Linked DNA regions of Caenorhabditis elegans. The protein of the gene in region 1 purifies or fractionates together with the protein of each later gene. This does not show direct contact. Each region holds a gene or a part of one and is shown in the gene's direction. Other genes may lie near its edges. The genes, in order: cyn-3 and ned-8.

The links.
Region 2: the proteins of cyn-3 (region 1) and ned-8 purify together in Caenorhabditis elegans (affinity purification with mass spectrometry; 2 studies listed by BioGRID, with this or other methods). This does not show direct contact.

Annotation. Positions count from the first base shown.
Region 1 is NC_003283.11:15,182,346-15,198,129, forward strand, and holds cyn-3 (Peptidyl-prolyl cis-trans isomerase 3), read left to right. Parts: upstream 1-7,581; 5' UTR 7,582-7,606; coding exon 7,607-7,675; intron 7,676-7,725; coding exon 7,726-7,977; intron 7,978-8,287; coding exon 8,288-8,488; 3' UTR 8,489-8,581; downstream 8,582-15,784. Other genes in the region: fbxa-84 (F-box domain-containing protein), read left to right, coding at 374-504, 725-1,370, 1,499-1,696; Y75B12B.1 (Mos1 transposase HTH domain-containing protein), read left to right, coding at 2,364-2,660, 2,706-2,926, 2,973-3,063; Y75B12B.3 (Transposase), read right to left, coding at 3,581-3,628, 3,679-3,915; cyn-7 (Peptidyl-prolyl cis-trans isomerase 7), read right to left, coding at 4,338-4,532, 4,647-4,898, 4,947-5,015; bath-36 (BTB and MATH domain-containing protein 36), read left to right, coding at 6,129-6,235, 6,296-6,867, 6,917-7,200; Y75B12B.11 (DUF7808 domain-containing protein), read left to right, coding at 8,964-9,033, 9,085-9,168, 9,217-9,313, 9,368-9,491; plc-2 (Phosphoinositide phospholipase C), read left to right, coding at 10,378-10,440, 10,532-10,630, 10,945-11,127, 11,172-11,314, 11,758-11,836, 11,881-11,981, 12,729-12,877, 12,929-13,084 and 6 more; Y75B12B.13 (uncharacterized protein), read right to left, coding at 11,389-11,524, 11,569-11,654. UniProt on the Caenorhabditis elegans protein: Catalyzes the cis-trans isomerization of proline imidic peptide bonds in oligopeptides. Plays a role in protein folding, transport and assembly.
Region 2 is NC_003279.8:10,365,165-10,380,328, reverse strand, and holds ned-8 (Ubiquitin-like protein NEDD8), read left to right. Parts: upstream 1-6,466; 5' UTR 6,467-6,469; coding exon 6,470-6,556; intron 6,557-6,624; coding exon 6,625-6,771; 3' UTR 6,772-6,956; downstream 6,957-15,164. Other genes in the region: hpo-35 (PB1 domain-containing protein), read right to left, coding at 1,242-1,454, 1,854-2,364, 2,893-3,172, 3,223-3,370, 3,609-3,674, 4,087-4,337, 4,385-4,793, 4,849-4,943 and 3 more; sptf-1 (Specificity protein transcription factor 1), read right to left, coding at 8,802-8,828, 9,039-9,166, 11,201-11,411, 12,476-12,680, 13,322-13,491, 13,553-13,708. UniProt on the Caenorhabditis elegans protein: Ubiquitin-like protein which plays an important role in cell cycle control and embryogenesis. Covalent attachment to its substrates requires prior activation by the E1 complex uba-3-ula-1 and linkage to the E2 enzyme ubc-12.

The DNA of each region.
Region 1 (15,784 bases):
GGAAAGATGTTTAAAATTGATATTTAAATTTATAGAATAGTTTTAGACTTTTTTCTCAATTCACCAGTTGAAATGTCAGCGTCCGCAATTCTTAAAGATCAAACCAAAATGGAATACTCTAACACCGAAAAGTTTGAAAATCCGCGTGTCTAGTTGCTCCAGCTTCGTCATATCATAATAGTTGCTCCAGCTTCGTCAAAAAATATTGTGGCCAACCTAAACTTGGAACACAGAAAAATTGATGCTTCTACTCTGATAACAATATTTCCTAATTTCTTATCAGCCGATTTTGTCATTCTCACTTTTTTCATCTTTGGTTTTACGAAACCAACAAATAGTCAGCTTTCCACAAAAAAGTTTAATGTAAAGGAAAATGGTAAAGCTGAAATCTATCAAAAAGCTATTTTCTTCATCGAAACCGGCTTCATCGCATACAGCAACATTTTCTGAATTGCCAACTGAAGTTGTCGACGAAGTTTTGAGAAAGCTTGGACCAATTGATAGGTGAGAGATTTTCCAAATATAGTTTTTTAGGATTTCATTGGAGCGCACTTATTAATCGAAATTATGACTGTTTCCTTACAAGTAACAAAATTGGAGTGGCTTCCCTTGAAAATATTTTGTGAAAATTCTGAAATTTCTCAAAATAATCTGAAAATAAATTTGTTCAATTCAGTAGAACCGATTTCACTTGTTAGTAACAGAGCCAACTTACAATTTCCAGAATAATCGCCAGAAAAGTGTCTCGAAAATTCCGTGCAATAATTGAGGCAACCTGTCGCTTCAAGGAAATCAAAATTGAAATTGCAAGTTTCTATAACCCAACTGTCTCTTTTCATCTGGATGATGCGTGTATCACCTACGAAACAGTGGGCCAAAGTTGCATTGTAAGCTTTGGAAAGAAAAGGAAGAAGGTTAAGAAACGAAATTGTGTGGATGTTATGCTGGATGATCTCTCATCACTATTAAGAAATCCGAAACTGAATCTGGAAGTGTTCAAACTTCAATTTTACATTTTCGTAGAAGCAAACCACCGAGAGACTCTTGTAAACTCCCTTCCAGTAGTTCTAAAGTCTGCAGAGCCTCTGAATGTCAGTGAGTTTCAAGTTAAAAGAGCACGATTCGACGAGATGGTGCCTATTTTGGCATGCTTCGAGGCGGGAAAACTTAGGAAATTGAGTTTTCTGCAAAGCATTGACCAATATGACTTGTTCGAAACTATTGTTCATTTGGATCAATGGAAAGAGGCAAAGGTTCTAGAAGCGTTGTTCTCAACGTATTTGATAGATGTTGAGGAGCTCTTTCATTTTGAGCATTTTAAGATTAAAACTGATTCATTTACCACGGAAGATGCCATACAGACCAGAGATGTGAGTTTTTTTTTCTAGGTTTCCTATAAAATTTCTCAGAACAGGCCCTTTTTTCAAAAAAAGTAGAGGAAACATCTAAATTTATTTATGCATTTCAAAATAAAATTTTAAATAAAATTCATTTCCAGATCCTCACAGTATCTGCCCACTTCCAGTACGCTAAACTTTTCTTCCCGGAAAACCGATCTACGGAGCTTGCAAGAGTGTTCGACCCGAAATATGAAGGCCCGTTGAGTGGATCAATCAATTACCAAGCGTGTGATGCAAATTTTATAATTGATTTTAGTCCACATCACTTTGAGATTAAGAAAATTTTTCATACTTAAATTTTTTGTTCGGAATCCCCCAATGGAAAACTTTAAATTATTCTAAAAGGCCTTAAAAACTGGTAAATAACAAATAAATGAAATATTTATTTTTTCTTCAGGAAAAATGATGAAAAACAAGCTGGAAGGCGTGGCAAAAATCCGGAAGAAAACATGTTTTGCATATTCGCGTCAAATAGAGTGTTCAGTCTGCAGTTGCACATGTTCTTGTCTACAGTAGTATGAGAGCGCGTGTGGCTAATCCGCCCATTTTTGCAAGCGCCGCACGCTTTTTCTGCAACCACGCGTCACGTGGCACGGTTCAAACATAGTTTTTCGAAACTCGAACCTTGCAAATACTTTTTCTTTTCCTAGAAATGTGTTTCTTTTGTTAGATTTTTTTTTTCAAAACATCGGAAAACGGAAAATTTTTGTTGTTCGGTTTAAAAAATCAGAACTTTTTTTTTTCAGAAAAGAAATTTGATCAGATCTATATAATTTTGACCTATCCGTAGATCAAATAAGTTTATTCTGCGCGCGGTAAAAATTGAATTCTTTTTCGTTTCTTTTCTCCTTTGTCCCAAATTTGGTCCAGCTCTAACTTTTTTTCTCTTTCCCTGGTTTTCCCATGTTTCCCTTCCATTTTGCACTATGTATTACGCTTTTCATTAATTTTCATTTTCAGATTATGGCTTCTTCCTTGCGTACTGATCCAGCCTTCCTTCGCACATGTGTTCTCTACGAGGTGTTCAAGCTGAACACATTTTCTCAGGGATTCGCTAACTTCTGCAGCACGTTCGGAAACGACATCATGCATAATCGGGAATTCGAGTTCTGGCACAGACGTTTTTACGACGGAAATCACGATTTGGGTCTTGAGATCAGCTCACAAAATGCCATTGACCACGAGCTCGAACGTGCAAAGAATGGGCAAATCCTGAGATCGGATCCGTCACGTTCTGAGAAGAAAGCAAAGCACTTGGAGGTTTAAAAAATTTCAAATTTCTCGATTAACTCCTTTACTTTTCAGTTCATTACTTCTCCTCTGTGCAAAGATCCGGAATTCGTTCGTTCTTGCGTCCTCTACGAAGTTTTCAGTCTGAAAGACTCTACCCAAGGATACAAAGATTTCTGCGATGCTCTCGGAAACGAGTCTATGGGCGTCAGAGAGTTCGACTTCTGGTGGAATCGATTCTACAATGGTGATCATGATTTGTGTCTCGATATGACTGCCGCAGTCACTTTGGGAAGGCAAATATATAATAAGCTTCATCAAAATAAATTGTTAGTTTTGTAGCTCCGGACAAGACGATGGCTTCACAAATGATGGAGAGGCTGAAGAGACTTCGCAGCTTCAACGTGTTTCTGGAGATTCTGTGGAATGGTAGGGTTCTGGGGTTGAATGCCCTAATAATTGAGAATTTCCAGAAATACTTGCAAATTTATGATGATTACGGTGATTTTTCGGATGAGGAGGAGCACGTGCTGAAGATGTGCAAATTCGGAGAGCCTGCTATCAGAGAGTTCATTGTCGCGAACTTTTCGGCTGAAGAGATCGTCGATTTCAGATCTCAAGTATGTTTTCAAAAAGCCTTCTCACAATAAATGTTCCAATTTTCAGCTTCACGATAATCTGGAAGAATACGAAGAGAAGAACAAGCCATCTCTCATCAAAAAGCTCGTCGGAAAGATAAAAGGGATCGGCGCTCGGAGAGATGATGACTCGGATTCCGAAGAGGATTCGGAAGAGAGCTCCGACGAGGACTAAAATCATTCTTGTGTACAACCCAAACCTACTAACCCGCACATTATTTTCTGAAATAGCTTGCCACAATTGTAAATAAATATTAGCGCCTGTAATACTCTTGTAACTGGAAGAAAGTTCATTTAAGAAAATATCAAAAATTAGAACAACTTCTTGAATGGATTTCCTTGTTGCCCGCCGAGTTTGCTCTGAAAATGGAGAGACTACTGGAGCTTTATTAAAAAGGTATTCAACTAACCAAGTTCTCAATCTTCGCCTGAAGCTCGACGATTTTCTTCTGCAAGTTGTCCAAATCACCACGAGACTCCTTCAATTTCTCCAAATTCTCCGACTTTTGCTCATCCGAAACTTCCGGATTGTTGACCTGCTGCTCATACAACTGTTTGGCCGATTCATAACCAGACTTGCTCGATTCATAGATCTTCTTAATGTTCTCCAATCGAAGTTTTTCATTATTAAGAATCTCGGGAAACATTTCTAGGAATCTGACAAGTGAGAATAACCAAAAGAATGTGAAGAGCTGGCAACAATGCCTACATTTTATGCTCGAAATCTGAATATTTGCACAATTTACAGCTTTTCCTCTAACAATTCCATTTTATGTGTTTACTCTTCACGAGTCAACAGAGTTCGAACGGTTGTCTGAAATTCAGGATAGAATGCGCAGAGATTGGAACAAAATGACGGAAATCGACGCTTTCAATCGCTTCTACAATGTTACAGTTCTCTCCAAGCTGTTGAGAACAATTCACGAAGGCTTCCTCGAGTACGACCCATGTAACTGAACAACTATATTCTTTTCGAGCAATTTATTGATGATCAAGATGAAAAAGTGAAGCAATAAACAGGGTTGGATGGGGTGATTGAAAAGAAGAAAAGTTCTCACGGAGAACAAATTTAGAGCTGTCCGCAGTCGGCGATGAGGCACTCGGACTTTGGAGTTCCGGAGCTGCTTCCGTTGCCCTCGACCTTGCTGACGATGTCCAATCCTTCGACGACACGTCCGAAAACGACGTGCTTTCCGTCGAGCCAGGCAGTCTTGACGGTGCAGAGGAAGAATTGAGATCCGTTGGTGTTTGGTCCAGCGTTAGCCTGAAGAAAAACAATGAAACTTATCAGCCAGTGGATAACAGTTAAGAAACTAGATAATGCTTCTTTTCTATCAGTTTATGCTGTCTTTCAATCTGGCTAGGCAACATAACTTACCATGGAAAGGACTCCTGGTCCGGTGTGCTTCTCCTTGAAGTTCTCGTCTGGGAACTTCTCTCCGTAGATGGATTCTCCTCCAGTTCCGTTCCCGCGGGTGAAGTCTCCTCCCTGGATCATGAATTCTGGGATGATACGATGGAACTTGGATCCCTTGAAGTGGAGTGGCTTTCCGGACTTTCCGACTCCCTTCTCACCAGTGCAAAGAGCACGGAAGTTCTCAGCGGTTTTTGGAACAATATCGTTGTAGAGCTGAAAATAAGATTTAATTTCATGAAAAAAGATCAGTGTTTTGTTTACCTCCATAACGATACGTCCGGTTGGTTTTCCGGCGATGGTGATGTCGAAGAAGACTCTTGGGCGGCTCATTTTCAGGTAGGGTAATCACTAAAATGCTTGAGTTATAGTTGAGAAATATGTATGAGATAGGTATATCTACAGAGGTGCGGCAAACACGCTCTGCGGTAATAGAGCGGGAATCAATCAAAGTTAAAAATATAAACAAAGCACCATAAGATACAAGGAAGAAGCACACGGATGAGCTATATACTGAAATGGAGTGAATTAGCGCACTAAAACAGAAAATTTTAGGCCCAACTAAATTAATTTTCCTGTTGGGCCTAAAATCTGCCGAAAGACGTGATTCAACAAGGATTAAACGACAGTTGCACATCAAAAAAGTTCTTAAATAATTTTCAATTGATTTTAATTCATTTTAATAAGCGAAACTATAAAAATTCTGACAAAATCAACAAATTAGGCGACGAAAGAGAGAAGAAATGAGCCGTTCGCTTCTAGAATTTTCCGACGTAAACAACAAAGTCCGCAAAAGTGTCTGCGTACCCGACACCCAATCATACGACATGCGCCATATCTGACGACACTTTCGCTGTGTTTCCCGCCTTTTGTCAACACTTTCACCGTGCGCCTGTGTTTTCAAATGATCGTACACAAAACAACAGAACGGCGCCGAAATTGATAACAATTTTTGTAGGCAATAAAAGATTACATTGAAAAACCGGTCATTGATATCAGTTCGATCATCACCACGGTCTTCACGAAAAGAAGGAGAAATATCGAGATGATTTAACATTGAGAAACATTGAGAACATTTTAAATTGCTAAATAGATCACAAATTAATCCAACAGTTTTTCATTTTGTTGAATGCTTTCGAGATCGATTGAGCTAAATATGAAGCTCTGCATGTGACGGGTATCTGCGAAGCGGTTCGTCAAGATTAGCTTTGCTTATCCGCTAAAAAATAATCTTTTCGTACAAGGACAAAATAAAATCTGCACAAAATACATCGTGATGTGCTAAAAATGGTTAATGTGAAAGTCCTAGAAATAGACCAATAAACTTTATAAATTTTGACTGGTCTCGAAGCCATTTAGTGTACTGTAGGTGAGAGCATTGCTCAGCTTAAATTGTTTGTTTCAAATTCTTCTTCATTGTTCAAATTAAATTTATCACAAGATAAAATGTCTGGAAAAGACAATAAAGGATCAATTCGTTTTGAGATTCAAAATTTTTCTGGCTTGGCGAAGGCGACGGAGCACAAACCAGTGCAAATTGGACACGTAGAATGGTTAGTGAATTTTAATGAAACAAAAAATGTTCTAAATTATTTAAAATATTATCTTTTAAGGATTCTTGGAGCATTCACAAGCACTTCCGACGCTACGAACAATGCTAAACATCTCGGAATTCACCTGAAATGCAACGAGGAACTGCGCAGCAACTTGTGGTCCTGCGATGCGTCAATTCGTTTTTCACTTCTGAGACTCAATTCAAACGAGGATGATGACGCGTTTTCGATGGAGTTTCAGCAAAAGTTCGACGACTTGAACAAGATTGTGGTGGTCAACAATTTTAAAAATTGGGAGGAAGCCATCTGCTACGATAATCGATTTGTGCTCGATAAGCATGCCGTTCTTGAAGTCCAAATTACTGTCAACAAGATTGCCGGAATTCATGAGAGGATTATCGAGACTTTCGATCAACCCAAGGAACATCTTACCGATGTTGTGCTGGTGCTTGAAGGAAAACATGTCCATGTTGGCAAGCAAGTGCTCGCAACGAGCTCGCAATTCTTCCAAAAAATGTTCTATTCGAATTTCGCCGAAAAGACACAGGCTGAGATCAAAATCGATGATGTGACCCACTCTGAGTTTATCGATTTGCTCAATGTGATCTACCCCACTCACATGCTCATTAATAGTAAGTTCTTTTTTTTATTTGAGGCTTGGAATTATTAACGGATTTTCAGGTTCCAACGTGTCTCACTTGCTCAAGCTGAGCGATAGATTCGCGGTGCCAAGAGTTCTGGAAAAGGCTGAAACGTTTTTGATTTTGGACCAAAAGACCCACTTGATCGACAAGCTGAAGTTCGCCGAAGTCTACAGACTCTCAAGGCTTCAAAATGCATGCCTTTCGCAATTGGAGACCAGCGAAGATGTTACTGCGTTGAAGCATCACGAAAATTATAAATCTCTCGATCATATAACCTACAATGCGTTGCTTCAGAAGCTCATTGATCTTTTGGAAGATTAGCTCCAAGCTTTGTTGAATTTGTTGTTGATAAATTCTGTTGTTGATTTCAGTTTTCAAAACTGCAGATTATTTTTTGTTAAGGAGAAGGTAAAAATACCGCGAAGAACTGTTAATTTTTGATTGGTTAAAAAACTCAAATTTAAACTACCACCAAAAAGAAGAATGTAAGCACGCTCTGCTGATGAAAGAAAACCTTATTCAAACTTCGCGGTCTCACAAATTATCAACGGAGCGAACATTCTGACCCCGCCCACAAATCGAAATTTCTCTGCCGCTCTCCATTTCGGTCCCATTTTTTGAATTTTCATGCGAATTCACTGTTTTTTATTCAGATTTTTTATCGATTTTCGTTTAAATTATGTAATTTTTATGATTTTTCAGTAATTTCCCTATTCTTGCCTCAACAATGAGCCGCTCAAAGGTCTTTTTCGACATCACCATCGGTGGTAAGGCTTCCGGACGTATCGTCATGGAGGTTTGTGAAATTTTGGCTATTTTCATCTTCAATAAATAAATTTTTTACAGCTTTACGATGACGTTGTCCCAAAGACCGCCGGTAATTTCCGCGCTCTCTGCACCGGAGAAAATGGAATCGGAAAGTCTGGAAAGCCACTCCACTTCAAGGGATCCAAGTTTCATCGCATCATCCCGAACTTCATGATCCAGGGAGGAGACTTCACCCGCGGAAACGGAACTGGAGGAGAATCCATCTACGGAGAGAAGTTCCCAGACGAGAACTTCAAGGAGAAGCACACCGGACCAGGAGTCCTCTCCATGGTAAGCAAATCGTCAGCTGAATCTGTTTGAAGTTCGAGAAAATGTTTTTTTCTGCTCAATTTGGGAAAAATATCACTGTTTGTTCTCCGAAAAGAGGGAAAACTGAAGATTTCTAAATGTTGCTTTTCCGGAAATTGTCGTATCTGTGAGAGACGCAGACATATCTCACAGCACGTTGTGTGTAGGATGGAGTGCTGAGCCGTTGTTAGGAGAAATTGAATGATTTATGAGAAAGAGCAGCTGAATGTATCAGTCTCAAAAAATATCAGAATTTTTGTCTGTCTCGAAAGTAATATTTTCAACATTTCAGGCTAATGCTGGACCAAACACCAACGGATCTCAATTCTTCCTCTGCACCGTCAAGACCGAGTGGCTCGACGGAAAGCACGTCGTTTTCGGACGTGTCGTCGAAGGATTGGACGTCGTGAAGGCTGTCGAATCCAACGGATCCCAATCCGGAAAGCCAGTCAAGGACTGCATGATCGCTGACTGTGGACAACTCAAGGCATAAATTAATTGCACCCGAAATCTCCTTCATCTCTTGATTATATATTTTCAGTATTCAACTAATCCATATTTTTCTCATAAACCTCAGTTATCCCCGATTGTTCCTTTGAAGAAACCCAGGTCTCATTGAGAAAAAAAAAAGAAATCAGCTCAGACGTTGCGCATATTTCCATCTTCTGGCGAAAGGCGCGACGTTGGGTCCCGCCTTTTCAGGCGACATCACAATCCGATCGCCTCGGCCACTGCACAAGTCATCGATCACCGCTGAGGAGTTGAACCCGCGTCTGTTGTTTGAAGACGGCGCGCTTTACCACTGAACCACTCGGTCGCGAATAGTAGTGCGCCGTTGTGTACCTATAAAAGTGTGCGTAGGCAAGCAGAGAGGAATAATGAAGCGGAGAGTTTCAGAACCGGATTTCAGCTTTATCTAATACTTGAATCTACATGCAACATCCATTCAGATTTTAATTCAATCTTTAATGAATCGCATCTACTATTTATTGTCGCTTTTAATTTTTCTAAACACTATAAACTCTCTTTATCAATGGGGTAATTTTTAAAAGATTAAATTTTTTTGAATTGACATTAAAAATTTCTCAGAAAATCGGATTTTAAAATGTGAAAACGCCAACTGCTCTCTTCAAAAAACCGGCGAAGAATTTAAACCTGCAGTTTGTGAGAAAGGTCGTCTTTTTATTTGAATAAACTTTTGAAATCGCAAGAAAAATTCAGATTCTAACGGAAAAATCGCATGTGATATAGAATGTGATAAAGCTGATCGTGACAGTGTTATCTCAAAAAGGCCCACCGATTATCGATATTGCAATAGGTGATCCGATTAAATTAATGTTTACAGTAGTTTCAAAAATTCTATAAATTTAAGGTTTTACACATACAATGCTGAAAAGACTTCCGATGGAAAATATGTGATTTGGAGAAGTGGAAAATGTGCTGAAGCAAATATTACTTTATCTGTTCATTGTGCTTTTGCGGTGTATATGGTCTGAAATAAATAATTTTTCTGGATTTTATTGTATTACGGTACCCGAGAAAGTACGCAAGATGTAGACGTGGCACACCATTCGACGAGCAAATTGGAAAAATTAAATAAAATTGACGACGAGATATTGTATTAGTTCTAAACTCGATCAAGAACATTCTCTTTATTTCGAAATAAAATTACATATGTACTTTTTGGGCTAAAAATAAGTCTCGCCACGACACAGTTTTGTTAAATAACAAAGATGTGCGCCTTTAGAGGGTAATGTAATCTCAAAATTGTATTGTCCCTTTTCTTTAATCAACTTTTTAAAGTTTTCCAAGCGAATTAATAAACTCTATGAAAATTGGAAGGAAATTGCACAGCAAAAATTTAAATTGCAGTACTGTTTGAAGACGCACACTTTTTTGACGAAAACATGTCGTTTTGAGACCGGGCAACGTGATTACCTTATGCCTGCCTGCCTACTGCCTATTTGCTCTAAAACATGTACTTTGGATGTAGGCACGCGTGTAGGCATGAGGTCAGACATATGTACATATTTGTCCTATATTCATTCAAAGACACACTCGATTCATGTTCCCATCTGAAAACCAAAAATCAAATTATTCAAATACATACTATAAAAAATCAAAATACAATTAGTAACCTTTTCTACAACTCACTGGTGACATCACATAAACCTTGACATTTTCTTCTTCATACTGCTCCCCCAATCAAAGAATGCTATCAGTTATCAATCATATGCACCAAACACAAACATTCGTACAGCCAAATTCGCTGCGTCTCTCCTCAAACTCGTACTCTCTCGGGCGTCTGCTGACGACACGGAAAGCTGATTTGGTTGGAAACTGGCCTGGAAAGTGACAAAATTGTCACTTTCCTCCGCCAACATGGCAACGAAACCTACTGACATTTTGCGTGATGGTAAATTGATTTTCTTTAAATATGAGGAGGTGAGGATTTTACATTGTTGTAAAAAAATTACTCTTTGTCAATGGAGCGTATTTGGGTAATCAAAAATATTTAAAATTATGAAATTTTCAGAATTGGACAAGCCGAAATGCCGTTCGTCTTCATGTTGATCCAACACCTTATATTTTGTATTGGAGGTACAAGGATCCTAAAGTTTTCAATACAAAGGAGGTAGGTTGGTGCCCTTAAAACCCCCATAACTATAGAATAGGCGAAGCTGCGAAATAGATTTCAACTATAAAATATTATCCATATTTTTTGAACATTTTGTCAGTTGAAGAAAATTTTTCTTTTGACGGGGGAACGCCACGTGAGGCCATATTCAAATTTATTCAAAAAAATGTTTGAAAATTTGAGAGTTCAAGTTGTAAGTAGGAGGAAAGTTAGAGTAGAAATAAAAAGTAACAATAATCTATTTCTATATTTTATTTCATTTCTACACCTCTTATTTGTCAATTTTTCATATTAGAATACCAACTTTTCAGCTTGCTTACGAGAAGAACTACATTTATCTAGAACGAATCTATGACGTTCGTGCAGGAAAACCGACAGACTTTGAATTAGTGCCCAGCGAGAGAAGTTATGAGCCCAACTTTTTGACTATTGTCAGCGGGACAAGCATCACGAATCTAAAGTTCACTCATTTCGTGTGTATGGAGAAGAATGAGGTGATTTCGTTATACTTTAACCTAAATCCTTTGATTTGATTCAGAAACGCCTGCACGAGTTCGCCGCCACTCTATTTACTGTGGTACAGCGTGTCAAACGGGAAGAGCACGGACTTTTGTATCATTTTCGTAAAAAGTTGGCTCCGAAGATGTACGCGGCGTTTACTAGAAGGTGTATTGAAGAAGAGTAAGTTTTTTATACCGTAGTTGCAAGGTACACCTAACTGGACGCGAATTGCTGCATAGTAAAACGTTCATTATTTAATTGTAATGATGCTTCAAATAATTTTCGACGTTAATATCAATGTGCAGCGAGTTTTTCCCACGTCTATCATACTTTTGGTGGTATTGATCAACAGCTTTTTCATCCTCAACCGGAGGAATTGTGCAATCGAAGCTGTAAATCTTATTATTTAAATTAAGCAGTACTGCTAACTTTACCAGTCAAAAGTATGCGCATCCGTTGGTGTTCCAAGGAAAGCCACCAAGAGAGAAAGCAAGAAAATCGAATATAGAAAGTTTTTCATAGCAGAAACTGGATAGTTTTAAGCCTTTGCGTCTTTAAGAGCGAGTGTATGATTGAATTAGCAAAGCACATGGGAGCTTGATTTTTGATCATTGAAGTTTCAGTATTATGAAGGTTTTCGACAAGCATCGAAAAAACTCAACGAAAATTGAATGGACAGAGGTTGGAAAACTCCTTCCAGTGGTGAGTTAACATAATGCCTGCAAAACCATTACAGTCTCATTCAGAATCGAAAGTCTGTCGAGATAGACGATCAGAAGCTCATAAAGATCATTATGATACTTACCAAGTTTGAGGGTTCCAGGTTGGAAGCTATATTTCGAAAAATGTAAGATTCTTATTAATTGCAATTTACCTCACTAGGGAACCATCAGAAGGTGCCCATCGGACTTGCATAGGAGACCTATGCCATTTAATAGCCCATGTCTTAAAACGGTTACTCGCGAATTTTTAGCTGCGAATCTCCAGAACCAAGCTTAATGCGGGCTCTCAAAGATCCTACAATAGCACTGTAACGAAGCACTGTAACAATCAAAAGAAGCTATTTTCCATATTCACTTTGGTAGCTCATATCTCCGCGGATAAATTTTTAACAGAAAAGTCATCAACTGATAAGTTGTTGAACTTTTTGTAAAGAGCAAGTTTGTAGTTGAAAGTTTTCACCAAAAAAAATTCTGTTTCAGATAAAAGCATTAGAATAGCAATCGCAGCCTTAAAATAGTAGACAACAGTTGCCGCACTTCACGCGCTTTTATTTGAAACAACAATTTTTTTATTAAAAACTTTCAATTACAAACTTGTTCCTTACAAAAAGATCAACAACTTAAAATTTATCCGCGGAGATATGATCTACCAAAGTGAAGCTGCAAAATTGACCCTTCAATTTTTCGTTATAGTGCTATTTTCAGGATCTTTGAGAGCTTGCCGTGAGCTTAGTTCTGGAGATTCGCAGCTAAAAAATCACGAGTAACCGTTTTAGACATTGGTTTAAGACATGGGCTATCGAATAGCATAGGTCTCATATGCAAGTCCGTTGGGCACCTTCTGATGGTTTCCTAGTCAGTTTCATTTTCAGAAGCGAGGATGAACCTGTTGCCACAAAGTTAGAATTTGGCGATTGGCTTAGAAAAAATCAACACGATCATCGACTCAACGACGCTAGGTTCAATCAGGTGTCAGATAGGAAGATCAACTCGATTTTAGAAAACTGGCAGTATTCTAGCGGTTAGTCTAGCTACAATTGGAAGCTTCTTTTAAAAACGAGGCTAATTTCAGATTCCGCAATTTCACCTCAAATGTTCACACATTGGATGGTGTCCGATGAGTGCGGAGTTGCGATTTCGGCACAAAGAATGAAGATGGATGTGACTAGTATGAGAGAGCCGATCAACAAGTATTTCATTAATTCTTCACACAACACTTATTGTTCTGGTAGGTCATCAACTCACGCGGACTTTTTTTTTCAAATATCCGTTCAGGCAACCAACTGGTCTACGCAATTGGTCATTGCTCCGCTGACGTTGAGATGTATCGTCAGGCTCTTCTAAGTGGAAGTCGATGCGTTGAGCTAGATATGTGGGATAACAAGGACAAAGATGGAGAACCTGTGATAACTCATGGACCAACTGCAGTTATGGGAATGAACGAGATTGGATTGAAAGAAGTTTGCGAGGCGATCAAGGAATGTGCTTTTAAGACATCTCCCTATCCAGTGATTCTATCCATTGAGAATCACCTTGGCAGAAAACAACAAGAGAAGATGGTGCAGATCTTTCGTCAAGTATTCGGAGAGCTGCTGTTGACTGGCCCACTTCCAGACTACCCCCTTTACGCTAAAGAGGGGGCAGGCGACGTTGTGTATCCACCGCCGGAACTTTTGAAGCACAAGATTCTGATTAAAGCCAAGAAGAAAAGATTCGAGAAACAGGAGTCAAGAAGTCGCGATAGCTCGAGCATTGATCTACAGGGATCTTCAATCGATTTGACCGAAGATGAAGAAATGGAGAATGAACGATTCAATGAGCTCACTGAAGAACAAAAAGCCGCCCAGCTCAGCGAGCTACCAGAAGAAACAACATGCTCCGAGCTGTCCGCCATCACCAACTACATGCAAGCCTATGAGACCAGTCGTGGAGTTTCCACAGTTGTCAATCTAGAGAATGCTACAAAGGACATCGTTCCATGCATAGTATCTGCTGATGAGAATACCGTTTACAACTGTCTCCGTGCAAATTCCATTGATAAAGTCCAAAATCTTAACAAATCAAAGATCACAAGAATCTACCCGAAAGCCTCTCGCATCTATTCCACCAACTACAACCCGATGATTCACTGGCTAACCGGCTCGCAAATGGTTTCGTTAAATATTCAGACAAATTGTTCGAACATGCAACTGAACTACGCAATGTTTGAGAGAAATGGAGGTTGTGGGTATGTTTGAAAAATAGAAAAAAGGGCGTGAAGTTTGAGCTTGCAGATACGTGAGAAAACCTGATTGGCTCAGAGCACGGAATGTTCAGCTGAGGCCGTTCTTGTCGATTCCATTCACGATAGCGTATACGGTCGAGGTTGAGGTAAGCAAATTTTATTATCATAGATCTTCTCGGGGATTCTTTCAAGTTCTGAAGTTCACGAAAATCTCTTCCTTGAACTTTTTTCAGAGGGTTTCAACCCCAAATCTCAGTGAGAGCTGGTAAGAAAAAGATCAAGCTTATTACATTAGACAGACCTCTAGACATCTTTCAGTTTACACAATCTTTCTCAGATCATTGCCGCATACTTCCTCTCTTCAATGGATTCTGGCAAATTTCGTCGACGAAGTTCAGTTTCCATTCGCCTCTTTGACGTACCTGATCAGATATCCAAAGATGATGCCGCATCGCCATCAGTATCCACGGCTGCAAAATTCGAATCCAGCTGCCGACGGCGTACTCGAGAGGAGGCTTCGTTTGTCACTAACTATGAGCGTCATGTATACAGTTTCGACAAAATCATGTTGAATGACATGTCATTCATTCAATTCAATGTTCATAATGAGTCGGGTAGTGTATTTGCTCAACGAATACTTCATATTGATACTATGAATAATGGTGAGACAACCGCATAGTTCACTGATTTTCCTCAATATTTCCAGGATATCGCTTTGTGACACTTCGTACTCCATCTAATCAGTGTGCTGGGCCAGCATGCCTTTTAGTTAGATTTGATCTTTTTATGCATTCAGATAGGAAAAATTTACGTAAGTTCTTGTTTTAACAGGAGCCCTGAAACTGTAAATTGGATTCAGATGACTTGAAGCAAATGTACAATCCACACGCATTTGAAAAGGAGTCTGACAAATGGGAACGAAGATTCAGCAATCCATTTGCAGACCTGGACAAGTTTGATGTAAGATTTCCATACTTACAGATCAATATCAAAAGTTTGAATTTTAGGACAATGAGTTCCTTCTAGTAGAGGGAACACGCAGAGGATCAGTGGAGCATGCACCAACAACACCCACCACACCAACCAAGCCAATGTCTTTTGGGAAGGAGATTCTGGAAAAGATATCGTTTTGGAAGAAGAAGTAGAATCTAACATTTTTTGCACAAAAAATACGAGTTGCATAAATCTACCTGGAATACAAAGAAACAAGAAGTCGTATGCCCTTACATTAGCAGCAACTACAGTCAAGAAAAAAACAGTCATTAGAAAAAAAAGGCTTTTCGCAGGTTCTTATATACTTTCAAATGAGAATCTGAAAATCTGGAAACTATAGAAATAAAAATCAACCAAGAAGCTGTTGCTCATTATATTGTGCAAAAGTTTATTTATATTTCAAATCATTCAGGTCAAAAGAGGCAGCGGCCGTCATCTCAAAAGTCCAGTTTTGGCAGTTTTTTAAAGCATGTAAATTATTCACAAATATCATGACACAAAATAAAGCGGCCGGGATTTCGTGGCACCATTTTTGATCAGAAAAAAAGGATTCTTGGAACCCATCACATGTCTGCTGCTTTCACGAAGCGTCCAATATTTGCTACTTTTAAAACCCGTAATATGTCCGCCACTTTAAGGAATTCATTGAAATCTATTCTGAAAATTTAGCTGGTCTATTCATTGTCCAGATTTTTAATCAGTCGACATTTT
Region 2 (15,164 bases), on another chromosome or scaffold:
TAAAAAACAGTTTTTCGAAGAATCTGAATGAAATCCTTACAGTGAGTTGTCCGAATGAGATTGAGTCCTCAACCCAATAATACGTTGAAGCAACTGAAGGCCAATTGACATATAAATATTTTCTTTTCTCCTCACTTCTTCGTATTGTACGGAATGCAGCAAATCCGAGAGCAGCTGCAGTGACTTCGAATGCCACGAAACTGAAGATTCCTTTGCGGATGATACCCGCCAGCTGGAAAAAAGTTCAAATTAGCTGCACTGGGTTACGGTAATATTTTCTATTTTTGTCAAACCCGAAATTTTGCGATTTTTATCTAAAATTACGATACCTGGTCTTACCACGACAAAATTTTGTAAAATGTCAAAAGATGTGCACCATTATAGAGTACTGTAATTTCAAACTTTCGTTGCTGCGGAATTTTCATTGATTTTTCGAATCAAGTTGTTAATAAATAAAATAGATGAACATTCCGCAGCAACGATAGTTTGAAATTACAGTGCTCTTAAAAGGTGCTCACCTTTTTGTACAAAGTCGTGTCGAGACCAGGTGCTGTATTTTTGGCGCAAACATTACAAAATTTCGGGTTTATGTAATATTTTCCTGTAATAATTGCCTCAATACAGGAAAAGTTTCAAGAGAAGCAAATCACTACCGTAGTATCAAACAGTATTCGGAAAATAAAGCAATTTGAACATTCTCAACTCATAAAATTCATTTTAAGTTTCAGAAAAAATGATGATCAAATGGCGGTGTGGACGGGGGGAATTGTGATGCGGGAATAAAAGGTGATATAACTGACACAGAAAAATCTTCTAAAAAAATGAAATTCAATGCGTTCACATATGTACTCCAATGCACAATTCAAATGAAAGAGATGCAGGAAAAAGGCGGTAGAGAAACGGCAATGAAATGGATTGAAACGATATTTGAAAGAAATAGAAAACCTATGGAAATGGAAATAATTGATTATGCAAAACAACTAAACAACGATGTAATTGTGATTATATTATCCAAAACCCTGAACAAAACAACAAGAAGCGAGCAAAAAAAATTTGGAGCATTTGGACTAAAAACGGTAAATTTGGTTTCTTACTGGGCACTGAAAGAAGTTTCAAAAAAAAGATAAGGAATGATTGATCACAATAAAAGTGATAATTTGGGGAAAGAATGAGGGGAATATGTTATAAAAATGAGAAAAATAATAAAGCATTTGGAGATATACGGAATGAAAATAGGGGTCCTAGTTCTTCTTGAAACGTTTCTGCTTGGTCTTCTCCCAAACAGTTTGTCGGGGTTCGTTGAAGCGTTCAACATACTCGTAGGCCGGTTCCATCAATGACTCTGTACAGTTTTTCGAGCAACGACAATGAGCAAGACCACCGGTTGGTACAAGTATTGCACCTGGTTTTGGAGGTGGCGGATATACGTAGTTGTGTGGTGGAGTTTTTTTGTACTGAAACATTTTTTTAATTTTAGATTTCTACATTAAGAATTTGTAGGTAATGCTTTTTTCCAGGAAACGGGTAATAACATTTTTTGGATATTTTTGGAAAGGAATTCACTAATATCATTGCATTTAATGAGAAAATAATTCTTACAGTGTGTTTGAAAGTTGGATTTTTCTTGAAGAAAAAAAAAACAAGAACCAGGGTTATCGTGTTTTGGAATTCCAAAATTGGTTTTTTTTCGGAAAAATTAGATTTTAAATTAATTTCACAAACAAAAACATTTCCGATTTTCCAAAAAAAAAAAACGAGAAATTCGCGCATCACTGTTTCACGCTTTACATTAAACTTTCTAAACAGAATAAAACTTTCAAGGCACATCTTTAAAAATAAAACTTTACACTCACCATCATATCGACCATCTTTTGCAACTCGGGACTCATCTTCTTAGAAATCGTAGCCTGACCACCACCTGAAGCTTCACCAGAGGTTGTGGTTGTAGTTGGAGCCGTGGAGTGAGAAGCAGCGACATTACTAGCCGCTTTTCCATTCGTTTCTTTTATTATCTTCTCTTCAACACTGAGATTATCAAAAGCAGCAAGAGTTGCATCAATCATATTATGAAAATTGCCAGTTTTAAGCCCGGAATTCAATGGTTTAGAAATTAAATCAGCATAATCATCTGAAGGTTTCGATCCACCACCATCAGCCACAGAAGTACAGATTTTTGGTTGCAGTGCATATGGAGTTGGACGAACAAGAAGAGTATCATAAAGCTGACAAGATAGTTGTGAATGGCTGAGACCCTTATCACGTAAACGTATCCAATTCTCAAATCCAACTTCTACATTACTTCGCCATTTCGATACTTCAGAACTACGAAGAGCCAGTTCAATTGTGTTGTGTTGACTGCATACTCTGAAAAAATGATGAAATTGAACGCGGAATTGTTAAATAATCTAGTTTTGTTTTTGATTTTTTGAATCGCCATTGATTGACTTTTAAAAAATTATTGTTTTTACCCAGACGCAAAATATGAAGTTTTGTGATTCATGTGCCGAAAATACGGCCCCAGGTCTCACCACGACAATTTTTTGATCATTGCAAAGGGGTTTTGTACCTTTAAAAAGCACTGTAATTTCAAACTCTCGTTGCTACCGAATTTTCATCGATATTTCCCCGTTTTTTTTTCTCGATTTGTTGAGTTTTCAAGTGGTTTTATTGTTGTATTCGAGTTTTCAATTTTTTAAATAGAAAAACTATAAAAATTCCGCAGCAATGGAAGTTTGAAATTACAGTATCCTTTGAAGGCACGCACCTTTTTGAATTTATCAAAATATTGACCGGGTACTGTAGTTTTGACGCAAAATTTTGCGTCTAGCTAATATTGAAATCGATCATTGTGGGACCTTTTCTGGAACACATTTAACTAGAAAAAAAACGAACTTGGTAGTGAATTTTCCAATAATAGAGTGAATACTTTCAATACTGAAACGTTTCACTTCATCTACATATTGTGGACTATTAGAAGACATCAAAGCAACTTTCAAAGCAACATGAACTTTTTGAAGTTCAAGTGTGACTAAACGAATAGCTTCTTTGCATTCACATCCTGGTGGAAACATTGGTTCCAAAATATTGAAACCAAAATAAGCAGAAGTGACAGCAGTTCTCAAATTCTCATACATATCGTGAAGAGGTGGCAGTGGATCCTTCTCGTTGGGCTCTGTAAAAGAAAAAAAAATTGATAATATCAGAAATAATTCCAGAACTCACTAGCTTTTACGTATTTCTCGTTGATATTGTTGAAATAATCGAATTGTCTTTGAAGTTGAGCCAAATGTTGTACACTTTCAAGCATATCACAGCAAACAATTGTAGCGCTCTCGACGAGTTCTATCAGAAACTCTGGATCGTGTGCGGGCTGAAATTTGTTTTATTTTGAGGTAAAAACTAATCATGTGTTATTCAATTAAAAAAACGTACTTTGAAAATTCAACGGTTTGCATTAATTATTGTTTTTTTTTATATTTGTTAAAATTTGAGTGCTTGTAAACGAAAAACTAGCAATTTAAAAACTTTCCTAAAACTAGTATTACTCATATGCGAGAATCCAGAGTCTAAAGTGCTTTGAATTTGTTTTTTTTTGAAGATTGAATTACCATGAGTTCTTCCTTCAAAAGTTTTTCCATTCGCGGCGAATAATCGGAAGAAATATCACAGGGAGCCTGAAAAGGATTCAACTTTAACTATCTCTGTTTCAAAAACATTATATATATATATATATATATTACCCCGACACGAAATTTTGCAATGTCTAAGCTTAAAATATGGTACTCGGTCTCGCCAAGACAAATTTTCGTTAACCTCAAAAAGGTGTGCGCCTTTAAAGAGTACTGTGACTTCAAATTTGTATAGACTTTTTATAGTTTAAAAAAAATGATTTATTGAAATTTGTGTTTTAATTGTTTTATTTTGGGATTTCAATAAATCAATTATTTTTAAATGAAAATCTATGGAAATTGAATGTTTGAATTTACAGTACTCTTTAAAGGCGCATGTCGCTTGGCGAGACCGGGTCCCGCATTTTTTAAAGTGTACAATCTCATGTCTTGGTAATATCAGACAACAAATTCTTACATATCTCGACAAAATTCTATTATAATAATGGAGAAGACCGGTTCCCAGACTATGAGCGAGAAGAGCCACAGTATCTTCGTGTACTTTCTCATTATATGGGAATGAGGGATTCCAGACGTCTCGAACGAGTTGTTCGGCTATCAGTGTTGGAGCTGAATCCATCGACTTTTTGGATAAAGTATCAGATAGAATATTTTTAACGTGATGGTATGCTTGTGATTCTGTCCATTGACGGTTGGAAAGTGGGGATTCTGAAAATGGACAAAAAATATTTTTTAAATTTCAGTATTTACTATACTTTTAGCAGGTGAAGCGAGTGGATCTCCAATACGTATCAATCGATGTTTCACCTCTGTATCCTGTTGCTGACCGGTTTGACCACGTGGTTTGGGCTCTACAAAAGCTTCTTTCAATGGTATCTTGTCGCTAACAATCATTGGAGCTGTATAATCAGTTAGAATTGGCGCAATTCGAGATTCATCATCATCGTCATATTCTTCACCTTCTTCATCTTCATATTCTTCCTCGTCCTGACTAATTTCTTCAGAATCACAATTTTCATCTTCAACATGAGACACTTCTTCGTCCTCCGTTGAATCATACTGTTCAGAGTCTCCATCTATCGGAGTAGCTCCTCCATTTGGAACTCGCTTCTCCATTTTGTGGCTTTTGCTCTGTGGCGTAACATTCCATACGTAATCTTGATTCTGAAATTTAAAAAAATTAAATTAGATTACATTCTGATAGATTTGAAACTTTTACCTCTACGTACAGAAATGCAGTAGGATCATTATGAACATGGCGAATAAATGTGTGAAGCTGTCCAGTAGTTGTGATTGGCACGTACAAACCATTGACTGAAAATTGTCTAGCTTTACAAAGAAAAAAATTTATTCAGAAACAAAAGGGACCTCGAATACTGCCTGAAAGCTGCAGTTTCTCAAAATTTGCAAACAACAGTTGAAGTACTTTTCTATCTTTCTATATAAATTTTCGATTAAAACTTCTACAAAACTATGAGAAACTTTAACTTCGAATTTTTGTCTGAAAATTCGCTCCGAAATGGGATTTTTTTGAGAAAATTACCAGAATAATGCAAAGAAACAGTTTCGTCGTTGGAAATTGTAGCCAAATAGTTGTATACATCCTCGTATGTAACTTCCACATTCGAACGATACAACATTCTCTGAAAAGAAATGAATAAATCTTGAACTATCAGATATTTAATTTACTTCTCGAACATAGAAGGTGAACTTTTTCTTTGGAGTTCCAACGTACATGTAGCTGATTGCCTGAAAGGGTTGATTTTAATGTTGTTGGACTCGAAATCTTCAGAAATACTTACGACAATGTGGTCGTTTTTGTTCTTTTGACGTTTTCGCGCATTGCCTGATGATTTAGGCAGTTGTGACATTACCATAGTAGGCATTTCGGCTGAAATTTAGTTTATTAAGTGGAAGCATTAATTTCAATTTATGAAAAGGATAGAGAAATGTCATTTAAGCAAGAAAATCGAAGGCTCTTTGGAACGCTTTATGGAAGAGTGCAAGTTCGGCCACAAGGCCAATGTCTATTTATTTTCTGCTCAATGAGTGCTCATTAATGGGCTTATAATAGTAGTTATGATGGCCGTTATGAATGGTGAAATAATTTATTTAATTTCATGTTTGGGTTTGTGTTTTGTTCTATTTCACCCCAATTTTTTGAGTAATGTAAATATAATTTCTAAATAGTGTTCCGTGATTCATGAATGATATTTTAATTCTCCTATCCACAAATCTGTTTAATTTTCATTATTATATCACATTCGACCAGTAGGAAATATGAAAATCGATAACTAGTGTTTAGGATGAACCTAACTGAACTTCCTAGGAGATCAGAACGCGCAGTATTTGTAAGAAATCGATTTGTTCTTGATACGCTGAGCGCATTTGTTCGAGAAAGGTACTTCATTCGCTTTTCTTTCGTCTTGACGAACGGTGAGCAATTTTCTATCTCATTTCTTGAATTTTTCTTCTTCTTTTCTCAATAATATATTTCATAGCTATGAGAACTTTTAATACTTCAAACAAAATAGATTTCGGACTAAGACTGAAATTAAAAATGAAAATAATATTATAAAAACAAAAATAAATATTAACAAAAAATAACTGCGTAGTAAGCTGCTGCGTCTCTCATATTCTCATGCTCTCTCGTTCGTTCTCGCGTTCCAAATGCGCTCTACCGGACCCCTCTCATCATTCTTCGAATTTTGTTCTTTTTTTCAAGTTTAGAGTTAAATCCATTGTTTTTGAATCACTTTTTATCTGTTAACGCAGTATTTTGAAAATTTTATGTTAATTTTCACCTAATATTCGCTATTTATCGTCTCAGTTTACAGAAAATGCTCATCAAAGTTAAAACCTTGACTGGAAAGGAAATTGAGCTGGACATCGAACCAAATGATCGAGTCGAGAGAATCAAAGAAAAGGTAACATACTTTAACTTCCATTTTAGCTAAATTTTATCTCGAAATATCCAACGAAAATTATTTTGCAGGTCGAAGAAAAAGAAGGAATCCCACCACCCCAACAGCGTCTCATTTTCGCCGGAAAGCAAATGAACGACGACAAGACAGCAGCAGATTACAAGGTTCTCGGTGGATCTGTTCTTCATCTGGTTCTTGCTCTCCGCGGAGGATTTTAAGAAAATGTATTCATATAAAATGTAAACTCCCGTCTGAATTGAGCCCGCTCCAAATAGAAACGAGTCACAGTCCCGAATGTCCCGTTTTTATGTCCAATCTCTCCAACTTTCAATATTTATTGTTACATCAGTTCTTTAAATCATATTCCTCATTTTATTTTCTGTGTTCAAATAAATAATGCATTCTTGATCTCGTGATGCTATTATTTTAAAATTAAAAGCAGTCCTGCCCTGAACGCAACGGCGAAACAATTAGTGCTTCTCATTGACAATTTTCTCCTCATTGAAAAGGAATATTAAAAAAAATCTCGGTAACTCTTAAAAATGTTTTTCATTTATTAGAAAGAAATTGATGAAAATAACACTATGGTAACAAAAAATCCTGAGAATTCGTATTACGCAACAAATGAGTACTGTAGCACTGCTGACGATTTACGGAAATCATTTATTAATCGATAAAATATTAGAATAAAAAAATGAAAAAAATAATACGGAGAAATTCATTTCGAAAATCGAGCCCGTAAATCGACACAAGCGCTACAGTAGTAATTCAAAGAATTACTGTAGTTTTCGCTACGAGATATTTTGCGCGTCAAATATGTTGTTCAATACGCATTCTCAGAATTTCGTGTTCCCGTAATAGATGGGTCTCATCGCGAGCAAAAAAGTTTGGTAACGCTGGTTGTACTTTCTTCTCAATTTTGATTGTCTCAAAATCACAGTTTTTCATTCGAATATGAGCGCAAAAGATTGGAATATATTTATCCGTCACTGGATGTCTTGTTACTCGAATTGTATGCTTCAATATCTTAAGTTTGAACATCCAGACATCAGTGACTTGCCTATTATTATGAATCTACCTAAGCATAAAATTGGACCACAAAAGTTCGAAATAACTCGTATTGATGGAATTAAGGCAGAGTGTAACGTCGTTGAATCCATGGATGGTTTCTTCACCTTCACAATGCAAACAATTTAATATCCCAATTTTACAATCTCCGTCCACAATGCGTAAATGAAGCGTCGATGTCATTCATGAAAGTGATCGAAAAAAGCAGCATGCCATTCTAATAATGTGTTAGTGTTTTCTAATCTTGTTCATACCTAACACATATTGCACGACATCTGTTTTCCCCAGTTCCAAAATTCGTGTAAAATACCATTCCCATTTTTGTAAATCGTAATATCATCTCCTCACTCCCATCTGTTTCCCCTTGCATTCATCTTTTTTCTATAAAATATTTACCGTATTTTTTCCAATTTACCATATTATCTTAAACATCTTCCGAAAATTAGTACTGTACTCCTTAATAATCTTGCGTTTAATTTTTTGTTTGGTGCAATCCCGCTTCACTAATTTTTAAGAGTTACCGAGATTTTTGTTTCCTGTTTTTAAACAATTTTCTCAAGTTTATAAAAATTGAAGTTATTGAACTTTTTGTTACAGTTATGATCAAAATGTTAACATCTCCAAATGAAAAATTGAGTTCTTTCAAGTAAAAATTAATAAGCCCAACACAAATAGTATAACAATCATAGAAGAAATACGGTTGTTATATTAAGTGCAAATCGAAAATGTATCCATATAAGATGGTGCCATATCAGCCATATCGGCTCTCGTTCAGATCACTTAAACTCAGAACTATGATGACGAAAATATGTTTTCTAAAATTTTCATTTCATTGGTAAATCGAAAGAACTGCATAACCTGAGGATAGCCTTCGTAAAATAGAATTTTGAAATAAAATACCCCGGTCTTGCTTATTGGTATGTCGTGAAGATTTCTGAAAAATTGTATTGCAGCCATACCAATAGACAAAATACGGCAGTTATATTGCATGTAAATGGATGAATTCTATATATTTTAGACCACAATTGTTTATTTCAGACAGGATGGAAAAATATATTCACAATAGACCAGAGACAGAAGAGAGAAGATCAAGAGGAAATAAAATAGAAATATCAAATAAAGAAAGTTAATTTATTTTGAATGAGATATGTGAAGAGATACGGAAACATGGACGATGTAGTCATGAGCTGTCACCGGAGCGTTTCTTCTTAAAAAAAACAGAATTATGATAATTGCCAGATTAATTTTTGGTTGTGAATGACGCAACGCATTGGACAATGATAATAAACTGGATTAGGAAAAGATTCAAATATAATAATTACAAAAAAAAACAATCACTCTACAAGCTAATGCGAGTTCACCTTCAATTCCTTGACAATCTTCGGATACAATCTCCTGATTATACGGGCTTCCTTACCATTTGACGTTCACCAGAATGCCATCTTAAATGTGCTTTCAAGTGACTGCTCTTATTATAAACTTTTCCACATCCAGCAATATGACAATTATGAACTCCTCGCTTACGTGCTGCAATTGCATTGGGTCCTGAAACGAATGAGATATTGAATTTCGATGGAATGAAAATTTTGTTTCCTATGCTAGTATTAACTGAAATTATTGAACATGACAAAAATGTTCAAAAATTAGTTTTTGGCTGTTATTCCAAAAATTAAAGTTTATGGTAGAACTTGTTGTACTTCAAGTACATACTAGGAGCATTTTCCAGTCTTTATCGATTTTCAGAAAAATGTTCCCGTATTTTAGTAGTTATTCTTGAATGGTAAAGACTATTGAATTATCTCAATTATATAATTGTTTTTCTTGCGGTAAGACCCATTCAAGTAAAGCCATGTTTTTTTAAACAAAACTCAGAAAATGACCAAGCTACAATTTGTTCAAATAAAAAATCAAAATAAATTTCAAAGTGAAAAAATTGCTCTTTTCTTTAAAAGTGCCCCACCCCCCCCCCCCCCCTATTTCCTATCATCATTCATCATTCATCTTACACCTTCTGACAGTTTCTTAAAGATCTTAATCATCTTAATTTCCTTTTTTGTACGGCTATTGATATCTGTCGGCATCTAAATGTTCCCAAGAGAGAGCACATCCCATATCGTTGCACACACCAATTATGCTCCTATGGAGCGCATCGGTTACTTAAAAAGCGTGGGATTTTGGTTGGATTACCCATGAACAGGTGCGTGTGGATTTGTCTACGGACGGATAAAGGTATTATTAGGTGAACGAAAATTTGAAGAAATTATTTTTGAAATTGGATTTATGCATAACAAGCGATTAGATGACTGATTGCGTGATAATTGGTTCGTAAATTTTGGAACTTCTACCTGAAGGAGCATATTCAGATGAATCTCGCGGCGAAAAAATGTATGGTAGGGTGTTTTGAAATTAGTTTCACACTATTTTGCATATAATTTCGTTCCATAAAATCTTTACAAGACGAAATTTTTTTCCGCGGCAAACCAATCCAAATAGAATTGTGAGCCACATTTTTTAAAATTGCGAATTTATGAAATTATTCTCCAACATTTTAGAAAAAATATTGAAAAAATGAAATTCTAGGTAAATTACTTTCTGTGAAATTTCTGTTTAACTTTTTCCAGTTCAAAGAGCACGTATTGGCTCAATGTTTTGTAATGGTTTAATTGATCTTTTTTCTGAAGTTTTCTGGTTGTTGCCAAAACCCATATGCCCAGGGAGCCTGCCTTTAATTATACTGCCTTTAATTAAAATTTCAATGATCAACAAATCTCAGCTTCTCCTCCTCAGCCAGACGTATCGAATTACTGATCATGTCTGGATGGCAGGTAATTACGCCGGATTAACCAACAATTTTGCCCGTTCAATGAACTACGGCATTGACTGACAAAGCGAGGATCTGTTGCACTACAAATTATTTCAGCATTTTTACTCAAAAAATACGTTACCTGGCCTTGCGACCATATACGAAATATTTTCATATCAAGGAACCGCGCAAATATATGCGTATTTAAGAACTACGGTAATCCCGGAAAAACTAACACCGATATTTCAATTTTACAGTCGTCTTAACGGAAACAATTCCAAAAAGATGTTTCCTACATTAATAAATAGCCAACAATCGTTATACGAAACAAAGTGGTTATTAAGGCTTTTAGAACCCTGTTTTAGAAATCATAAAACTTTCCCTAAGAACTCCTTCCCGCCGCTCTCCCTTCTTTCAATTCTTTCAATATGTGCGATTTCACGCTTTCCGACTCACTCCCTCCCTCCGTCCCTTCCATCAAAATTGTCCGAGAGCTCAAGCTCCGTCGCATAAAATGTATGGCAGAAGGAGGCAGTTTTTTTTCTATTTCTTCCAAAAACGTCGTCCTCCCCCCGAAAAGTGACACCTCCAGAAGAATCGAGCGAATAGAGAGTGGGAAAGTTGAGAGACGCAGAGATACTGTTTAATTGAACGTTTTGAGATGGGACGAAAGGATGAACAAAACGGACGAACGATTTGATTCATTGCCAACACCTTTTTCATCTTTTTCATTTTTTTGCAGCGAAAAATGAAGAATTGGAGAGGAGGAAACGTACCGAATTTCTCAATTTCGTGGCAATTTGGGCACTCGCACTTGTTGGCGGTTCGTGATGAAGGATACTTACCAGTACCTCCACTACCAGAAGTTCCACGAGCACTAACACTTTCAGAACCACTGCTTACAAGACTATTTGCACTGGAATTGGAAGCTGTTAGTACTGATGGAATTGATGAAGATGAAGCCATTGGTTTTGTGTGTTGGAAACTCTGAAAAATAGGGTTATTTTTCAATATCAATGGTTTGTAATCGTTTTTAAGCTTTTCAGGTGGGCATGCTTGCCTAACGCCTATCAGAAAAAAATAAGCGTGTACATAAGACAAGCAGGCGTTGGCAGGTCTAGGTTGTATAAAATGTGGGCGATCAAGCCTGGATTGTCTTGAAGGCAGATAGGTAGGCGTTTTTGCCATGACAGCAGGTATGCAGACCGGCTTATAGGTCGGCAACTATACCTAGCCAGCTCTGAAGACAGTCAGAGAGGTCTAGGTCGTCTTTAAAGTAGACAAGCAGGTCTAGGCCCACTCGAAGGCAGGCGATTAGGTCGTCTTGGAAACAGACAGACAGGTACTTTGTTGTCTAGAAGACAGACAAGTAAGCGTAGGTCACCTTGTAGGCAGACATCTATACCTATTCGTTGTGAACATTTTTCGTTACTTGATTAACATTGTGAAATTGCTTCTCCCTTCATGTTTCAGTTTATTTTTAAAATATACGTTTCAGAGCTCTTTGATCATTGAGCCACCATGTGATAATCATATTATCACTACTCCTACTACAAGTTGTACTAGTCTTTGATATTTTTCCTCAAACCCCGCCAATCAGTACAACACCATTTAGGTTGTGAATTTCGAAAATGCCGACTAATCGCTTGCCTATTTTCATATTACCAAAATCGTGTTGGTACTGATATATAAAGTACATTTTCGTTACGTTGTCACTGGATCAGAATTTTCAGACCTTTTCAAAAGGGTATTGCAAAGTAGTTTAAAGGCAACGGAGCAATTTGGAATGGGGATTATTTAATCTGAAATTTTTGGTTAAATTTATCGAAAGGCAAAATTTAGAAGCTTTTTGGAAATATTAATATGTTTTTTAAATACCTCAGATACTTCAAGCTGTTTTCAGGTTTACAAAACATTATATTGAGAAAATCCCATCAAGAAAATTCAAGTATTTGTTTTGATTTTAAAAAAATCGCATTGAAAATGTTAAGCGCTACTTTTCTCCAGCTCAAAGCGCTCTTCTAAATATTTGTTGCTAAGCCATAACTAACCTTTGCAATAGTTCTCTGTTGACTCGTTATGTTGAGAGCTGATTGTGCATTAATACCGGCTGGCAGTTGAGAAGCCACTGCAGAAACTGACGAACTTAAAAGGCCACCAAGTTGACTAGAAGCCAAGTAGTTTTGATAAACATCTACAGATGAAGCTGTGGTTACTGTAGGGTACAGTTGTGGCCATCCTGTTTGGTCAACCCACCTGAAACATACATTTTTGATAAAGTTGTCAAATTTGTACAATAGAAAAAATTATGTAGCATTATAGAACAGTAATTGATTAATTTGGAATTTATGTTTTTTTTCTGTTGGAAGCTTGAAAATAACATACCAAAGTTTGCTGAAAGTTGCAATTTGAAAAAAAGTATTTTAAATTCACTTCATAATTTTGAACAGCAATAAACATTGTTTTTAAGTAGATCAAACTTTTTCTAAAATTCTTGATTGATTTTTCAGTTTTGTACATTTTCAAAAACCAATGTGTTGTGCATTCCCAGTCGGAGTAAATTAAATTTTAAGTCACAAATTGAAAATTTGAAACATATTATGATTTGCAAGGAACGAGGAGAAATATGAATGAGAGCAATCTAAGGATGTATAAAACTTTTGAGGGAAACAATAATTGAAATACAGTTTTTTGGTCGATTTTCAAAATTACTAGTGGAAGAAAAAATTTATGCTTCCATAGAAAAGTTTAATCAGAAATATTGATTTTTCAGCAGCATAGAAGTAAAATCTCTAAAACCCATGCTTCTAAAATTATCAGTTGATAGGCTTTCATTTTCAAAAATTAATAATCATAGTTATAAGCTCTTTAAAATCATAGATTTAATGTGTACTTACCAATTAGGAGTTGCTAAATATGGAGAGTACGCATTCATATCAGTTGGCAAAAGTAGTGATTCTGGTTTTGCTGGCTCTGCCTTCATTTTGATATCTGCTCCCGGCACGAATTTATTGCAATGCTCAACGAGCTTTGATAAAGGGTTTTCTCCGCTCATTTGGAATGGGACCTGAAGTTTAGAAGGTTACATTGAAATCATAAATTATAATTAGAAAAAAAAGAAAACTAACTGAAAATGAGAGGGCGACAGAAGCGGCATCCGTCGGATTCAACATCTTATTTCTATTGTTTTTCACTTTAATATACGAGCTGCCGAAAAAAGCGAGAGAAGTGAAATAAGGGGCGGAGCGACGAGACGGGATGCGAGGAGAGGAGGCTCCGCCCATTAGACTACTGTAGATGTGAGGTGGTGGTAGTAAGGGAAATGGAAAACACGAGAAAATGACAAGGGATAATTAGAATCGAGAGCTGGTTGTGTTGATGACGAGAATGTCATGTGATTAGAGAAAATTTGATAAATATTTTTAGTTTTTTTTTTCAAAAAATTTCGGGCAGTATTTTTTAGAAAAAATAACACTAATTGAAGACTAATGGAAATTTGGACATACAACAATATATAGATTTTTAGCTTGGCTACAAGTCGACCCACACCTGCTTACAATACGACGAATAGCTACTTACACAGACGCCTTTGTGTTCCCATATTTGAAAACCAGCACTGCAAAAACATAATGAGAAGGAAAACAGGCAGAAGGCAGGCACGTATGAAGATGCGCCTGCCTAATACGGAAGGCTGATATTTAGAGAAAAATAAACATTTTTTTACTTTCAGTCTGTTGGCTAAACTTTGATCAATAATTTTTCAGCCGATAATTTCCAAAGTTTATCTATTTTTAGTTGAAATTACATTTATTCGAGGGCGCCTCACAACCGCCTCTTCACTCTCCCTTCTTTCGTTCGCCTTGTGAGGCGTTTTCGAGACAAAATTAGTTCCCTAATTATTAAATTAAACTTGTTACACATTCCAGTTGACAAGAGAAATCTAGCTTATGTCATTCTTGTCATAATGACGTCGAATAACATTGTACAGAATCCATGTGGCAGACAATGTTAGACGATGGTTTAATAACAGGTTATCCCCCTCTTTCATACCTTCTGTCAAAAAACGCCATACACGGGATGGGGGCTCTGGTTTGTTCTCGAAGACTGCTGCTAGTACATTTCGTCGTACGAATTCCATAAATTACAGGGTTGATTCAAGTTTTCAGTTCAAAGATTTTTCCGTTTCGGGAGTTGTCTTGCAAGTGACATGCAAAATGAACACTGCAGAGGGGAAAGCGGGGATTTGGAAGCTTTTTTTGTTTAATGTGGAGTATCAAATAAGTTTATAATTCGTTTATCAGGACAATTTCAATCAAAAAAAATTGAGGAAGCTGGGCGAAAGTCTTGAAAAAATTGAAAAATGTTTTTAAAACAAAATCCCTTTGACTTTGTAATACTTTGTAATATTACAAAACACGGTTTTCAACTATGTTATTTTATGTAACTAACTGAAAATGCACCTCATCCTACTTGTATCCCAGATTTCAGCCAGAGGTACGATTTCACAACTTGTAGTGTCGAAAAACTTAGAACTAATCTTTCTATGTAGGCACAGAAAAGCCTTCTTACCTCCAATGCCATTTATGCCAAGAATGCTGAAAGCAGGTGGCAAGCAAGCATGAGGCAGGCGCGTACGCCTGAAAAGGTGACTAGATTTATAGTGTACGGTTAACGAAAAATTTAAAATTCCTATTTCAAATCGAAAACTGCATTGACAACGTTTTTTTTAGAAATTTCATA